Callithrix jacchus: one gene and its partner. The protein of the gene in region 1 binds, or shares a complex with, the protein of each later gene. Links are inferred from orthologs where the notes say so. Each region holds a gene or a part of one and is shown on either strand. Other genes may lie near its edges.

Region 1 (2,638 bases):
CAACCTCTCTGGCACTATAGTCAGTCCAGTCACTACTAGAGCAGTGGTCTGTTGTCAAGTTTCTTGCATGGACAAAATTCTGTTTTCTCTTTTAGTATGTATGCTGTCAAGGTTTCTTTCTTTCTTTAACTGTAAGGATCAACCAGGTGTGGCAAAAATTTTTATCCTTAGGGACATGTGTGCCATGTTTTCTTATCATGCTTTTAGATCTTAGCATCATTTTAATGTAAGTCATTGCTTGTCTCAATGTGCTTTCTTTCATAGCCCATGTACTTACACTGAAAAGGTTTTATCTTTTTAAAAACAATCACCTTATAATAAAATTTGGCCCAGAGGAGCAATGAGAATGTTAACCCTCTCTCTTGGTTGGCACAGTCACCAAATGGCTGGAAAGCATTTCATGCTCATGTTTATATGTGCTTCCAAGTTCTACTTGCTTTAGAAATCTGTACATTTTCACAATGCATTGGCAGGTTTATAGTTACCTTCAATTTATAAACAAAAATTATTGACATTGGTGACTTTTATTCTCGCAGTACAAAAAATGACAGCTTTACATTAATTGTTCTGAAAATATAGGGTGACTTTTTACTTGCAAGCAAAAGTTTGGAAACCAATTACATTGTTAGTAAGGGATTAGTGTACTGCCCATTTGGCTTATGTGGCAATCTTGTATTATAGTATAGTTTATACTAAATCTTTAGACAAGGATTTTACCTTTTTGTAGCTGTAATACTCTACACACAGCAAGAGCGTGGTACTTGTTGAGATACAGGTGAGAAACTGTAGTTCCAAGCTTCTTAAGGATAGAGATGATGTTGATTGTTCTTGCCCAGTGGCTGGCACAATATAGACACTGAATATATGTTGACTGAGTGAATATGAGGAGAAACAAGTAGTACTAACGTTAGCTCATTTTGGTAAACCTAGCCTAATACTTAATATTCTCTTAATATTCTAATTGGTCTTATTTTCTACTTACTGCCAGAAGTTAAAGTGCATTTTGCTAATCAGTCAGTAGAACCTTTGGGAAGAAAGGTGGAAATGTCTGAAACTTCCTCCCTCCCACAAGAAGGCCTAAAGATTCCTGACTTAGAACATGCGAGCATTGAAGGACCAATAGCAGTAAGTAAAAGACATCACTTTTAAGAACTATAAGCAAAGTGACAAGGTACTGGGAAATCAAACTTTGAATTGAATCAGTCAGTGGGCATCTGTGCTACTTACTAAATGGACTTGAATTTAGATAGTTCCTTTTCTTATTTGACCCAGAATTTATCAGCACTTGGAACAGAAGAACTTCGGCAACGAGAACACTATCTCAAGCAGAAGAGAGATAAGTTGATGTCCCTGAGAAAGGATATGAGGACTAAGCAGATACAAAATACGGAGCAGAAGGGAAAACCCACTGGGGAGGTAGAGGTATGGCTAACCTTAGTATGTCAAGATTTGTAAATCTGGTAGTAGAACTCTCAAAATCAGAATATGTGCAAGACAGCCTCTTAATAAATTTTGCTTGCAGACTCATGCATATTAACTACCTCCTAGTGCAGTAGCTGCTAAGTGTTTTCGAGGAAGTGAAATTGTTGTGATAAGGATTTTATGAGACAGAAAATAACAGTGGTGTCATAGTACATTTTTTTTTCTTATGCTGTTTCTTTACTTGCTCTGCTCTGAGTATGTAAGGGTCAGTGGTCTGTTTTACCTGAGCATTCTGAGATGTTTTCTCAAAGAGCAGCATCAGTATCCCAGCCACCATTTCCAACAGGGCTTCTCCAAGAAGAGACTTTATGAGTAAGAAATTTAGGAAACCTAGTCTACGTCTGTCTCTTCTTCCACCCCTAAAAAAAATGCCTCTAACCTTTGTTCATTTGAGGTAGTATATTGGGAATTTTAGACAAATGGCCCTGTTCATGGTGTAGCCAACTTTTTTTTTCCCTTTTTTTTCAGGAAATGACAGAGAAGCCAGAAATGACAGAGAAGCCAGAAATGACAGCAGAGGAGAAGCAAACATTACTAAAGAGGAGATTGCTTGCAGAGAAACTCAAAGAAGAAGTTATTAATAAGTAATCATTAAAAACAGTTTAACAAAATGGAAGTTCAAATTGTCTTAAAAATAAATTTAGTCCTTCCACTGAGACCTTTAGTTTCAAACACTTTTGTAAATGCAAGTATCTTATTATTTTAAACACTTTAGGTAAAGGAAATTGGGAAGGCAGCTACTCATATTGATTACTTTAATACAAATTCCTGGGTGTTTTTCCTTGGAAAGAGAGTATAGAAAGAAACTACTTTGATAGTTCATTCATTCAGACTCGATTACCTACTGTTTGTGCCAGGCATTGTGCTAAGTGCTAAGGATACAGTAGTCAACTGGATTGACAGCGTCACTGCCTTCATGAGGCTAGTAGAAAAGTCTTGAAGACCAAAGTGTTAGAAAGGCAGAGGGTAGAGTGCTATGAGCAGGGCTAACTAAGCCTTTTTAAGCTGAATGGAAGGTTAATTACACAAAGAATAGGTAAGGAAATAACTCAGGTTCTGCAGCAGAAAATAAAGCACATACTGAATAACTGGAGAGGCTTAGCATATGAGATTGGAGATGGGTGGTGTACTGATAGTAGTGCAGGGTCTTGTATGA
Region 2 (3,500 bases), on another chromosome or scaffold:
TGGTTTCCAGTATTTTCACTATTTTGGTTGTTCTCTTTGGTATACACTTGATTCACTGTCTTCCTAGGGGTGACAGTCAGTGGCATGATCTTCCGACTTCCCTTCTGCTATTCAAATCACTATGGCAATTAGTAAACACTTTATTTTGCCAAGATGGGTGTGGGTACAACATTGTTACTGAGCGATAGCAAAACATCTTTTTTTTCTTCTTTTTCCTTTTTTTTTGAGACGTAGTCTTGCTCTGTCTCCCAGGCTGGAGTGCAGTGGCATGATCTTGGTTCACTGCAACCTCTGCCTCCCAAGTTCAAGCAATTCTCTTGCCTCAGCCTCCCAAGTAGCAGGGATTACAGGTGCCCGCCACCATGCCCAGCTAATTTTTGTGTTTTTAGTACAGATGGGGGTTTCACCATCTGGGCCAGGCTGGTCTTCAACTCCTGACCTCGTGATCCACCCAGCTTGGCCTCCCAAAGTGCTAGGATTACAGGCGTGAGTCACCATCCCACACCAAAACATTTTATATAAGTTATACAAAGATGTTTCTTCATTTCTTCTTTATAATCTGCAGTCTTCTCCTATCCCTGCTAAATTCACAGTGATTAATATTATGGCTATGGAATTACTGCCAAGAAAGAACATTACAGTGTCCATGTTTCTAACACATGGCAGAAAATACTATGAGTTACCGTGTCAGAAGGAGTACTTACAAGAATATCGGTATTTTCAAAATAATTCCTCCAGTATGGTCTGATTTTCCTCTGTCCACCAATGTCCCATACATTCAGCTTAAAACCTTGTGATTGTACACTTTTGATGTTGAAACCCTGAAACGGGCAAAAACATCAAGTTTTATTAAACTTTGAGGTCGTAATTCTGAAAAAGTTACATTTAATAGCTATGTTTTTTATTAATTCTAAAATACTCTGCTATATGTGATACTGGTAAGGCTGAAAATGATTTGTTGTGACAGAGAATAAAGAAACATATTTATACATGTTTATTTCATCCAGGTTGTGGAGTCAGTGTAAATAATGTCAGGCTAACATGATGTTTTTCTACAATAAACAAATATAGACATATAATTGCTGAGGATAACTCTAAATGAGAATAGCTCTAATTAATCAACACACACCACATGCCCATGAATCTTCACGATGATAAAATTTAACAGGACATTTCATGTAACTAACAAAAAAACAAGCTGAATCTGAAGACTCAACAGAAAAGAACACAAGCTAAATTTAAAGAGGCAAAAGCTAAAAATCTAAAGGATTAGATTCTTCAAGAGCAACTCAAAATAAATTTCCTATTGGAATTAATCAGGAAAGAGAGCAGAACTGAGGGAACTATGGGGGAGGCTGGATTTCTAACTCCAATATCAGCCCAGGAGGGAGGTGGAGCCCTGGGTTACAGACACTGATGGAAACAAACAAGTGGTCACTTGCTGGGCGTGGTGGCTCAAGCCTGTAATCCCAGCACTTTGGGAGGCCGAGACGGGTGGATCATGAGGTCAAGAGATCGAGACCATCCTGGTCAACATGGTGAAACCCCATCTCTACTAAAAATACAAAAAATTAGCTGGGCATGGTGGCGCGTGCCTGTAATCCCAGCTACTCAGGAGGCTGAGGCAGGAGAATTGCCTGAACCCAGGAGGCGGAGGTTGCGGTGAGCCGAGATCGCGCCATTGCACTCCAGCCTGGGTAACAACAGCGAAACTCCGTCTCAAAAAGAAAAAAAAAAAAGTGGTCACTTAAAATTGTGATTTCATAGGCAACTCTGATGAACTTGAAAAGGAAGTCGTCTTTTTTTTTTTTTTTTTTTTTTTTTGAGACACAGTCTGGCTCTGTTGCCCAGGCTGGAGTGCAGCAGCACAGTCTCAGCTCACTGCAACCTCCGCCTCCCAGGTTCTACTGCCTTTCTCCTGAGTAGCTGGGATTATAGGCACCTGCCACCAGGTGGCTAATATGTTGAGTTTTTAGTAGAGATGGAGTTTCACCATGTTGGCCAGGCTGCTCTCGAACTCCTGACCTCGTGATCTGCCTGCCTCCCAAAGCACTGGGGTTATAGGTGCAAGCCACCACACCTGGCCAGAAGTCTTCATTTCTAAGACAGTTACTTGAGGTGAAACTTTGAGGAAGGTGAGCAAATCAGGGACAGGCAGAATTGCCAGCTGGTGGTTTAGTGTGAAAAGAAACAAATTAACAAGTACTTTGGGGTTCTGAGAGAATGTATTTCATGAAGAATTTTTTTAAAAGTCTTCTTGCAAAAGTTACATAGGGAAACCAGGATTTGAAAGACCCAATCAATAGCTTGCTACCATAGAAGAGACATTTCATCCAGAATAACCGGATTTAGATAGGTTTGGAGATGCCTCCACAAACATTTGTTTCATGTGGCAGCCTGTCAACACTGCTGCGTGGCACAGAAGGAGAAGGCACAGTGCAATTAGACAGGAACACTGCCACCCAGTTTCTACTGAGGATACACAGTCTCTGGAGGATAATGGGGGATGCTGCTGACTCTCGCTTCTCTAACATGCCAATGACTGAATACATTAGAAGCTCAAGAATTTTAAAGGGAAATGGCTTAAGCTTATTAAAAAAAAGCAGTTTCATTGTAACTCATTGGCAAAACTACTTTGGTGTATTTAAAAATTCCACACTCAACAATGATATTAAATGTGAAACTCAGTAATACTGAATCCTTTCTGGAATAAAGCAGAAAATAAATAACAGTAAAATAAATCTTGGAATTTGACCATATGTATCAATGGCCTTAAATGTCTATAAGTCATGAGACCCAACAAATCTAGGAATTTATTCTGAGGAAATAATAATAATGAAAGGGCACAAACATGTAGAGATGCATATTTCATATGTATTTACATATATAATAACATAGAAAGGTATTCATGATTTACTAAGTAAAAAAGATGAAACAAGTTCAGTGGCTCACACCTATAATCCCAGCATTTTGGGAGGCTGAGGCTGGAGGACAGCTTGAGCTCAGGAGTTCAAGGCCAGCCTGGGCAATGTAGTGAGACCCCATCTCTACTCTCCCCCCAAAAATTAACTGGGTGTGGTGGCATCTGCCTGTAGTCCTAGCCAGTCAGGAGGCTGAGGTGGGAGGATTGCTTGAACCCAGGAATTTGAGGCTGCAGTGAGCTATGGATGGCACCACTGTACTTTAGCCTGGCCAACAGAGTGAAACCCTGTCTCTAAAAATATATATATATATATATGTATAGGTATATACATATATGTGTATATATATATGTATATACCTATACATATATGAGATATAAACTAATATATCCTCTATGAGCCATTTTTATTTTTTATTTTAAACATACCCATCATATATATGCATAGAAAAAACTTGATACATTCCTACATGGGAACAGTGGTATGCCTGACTGGGCATTATAGGTGACTTCTAGTTTCTCAATTTTATTTATTTATACTTTCTAAATTTACTATAATAAGCATTTATTATTTTTTCTA

The links.
Region 2: the proteins of CFAP36 (region 1) and ARL3 are in contact, whole or in part, in a crystal structure (PDB 4ZI3), measured with the Mus musculus proteins. The link is inferred for Callithrix jacchus from reciprocal best matches to the Homo sapiens genes CFAP36 and ARL3. Residues at the interface, in NP_080016.1 of Mus musculus: Glu44, Glu45, Ser46, Lys47, Leu48, Thr51, Glu52, Lys58, Val61, Glu62, Leu65, Glu76, Phe79, Gln80, Cys83, Thr84, Ala88, Lys89, Leu97, Val100, Leu101, Ala103, Glu104, Asp105, Phe106, Thr107, Ile108; in NP_062692.1 of Mus musculus: Leu3, Leu4, Ile6, Leu7, Arg8, Lys9, Leu10, Lys11, Ser12, Arg19, Lys35, Glu40, Pro47, Thr48, Gln49, Gly50, Phe51, Asn52, Ile53, Lys54, Trp66, Ile74, Tyr77, Ser80, Tyr81.

The regions. Positions count from the first base shown.
Region 1 is NC_133515.1:58,640,121-58,642,758, reverse strand, and holds the end of CFAP36 (cilia- and flagella-associated protein 36), read left to right. Parts: intron 1-717; coding exon of another isoform or gene 718-871; intron 872-988; coding exon 989-1,125; intron 1,126-1,272; coding exon 1,273-1,422; intron 1,423-1,950; coding exon 1,951-2,070; 3' UTR 2,071-2,138; downstream 2,139-2,638. Other genes in the region: PPP4R3B (serine/threonine-protein phosphatase 4 regulatory subunit 3B), read right to left, coding at 718-871. UniProt on the Homo sapiens protein: May act as an effector for ARL3.
Region 2 is NC_133513.1:95,689,738-95,693,237, forward strand, and holds part of ARL3 (ADP-ribosylation factor-like protein 3), read right to left. Parts: intron 822-3,500; coding exon 705-821; intron 1-704. UniProt on the Homo sapiens protein: Small GTP-binding protein which cycles between an inactive GDP-bound and an active GTP-bound form, and the rate of cycling is regulated by guanine nucleotide exchange factors (GEF) and GTPase-activating proteins (GAP).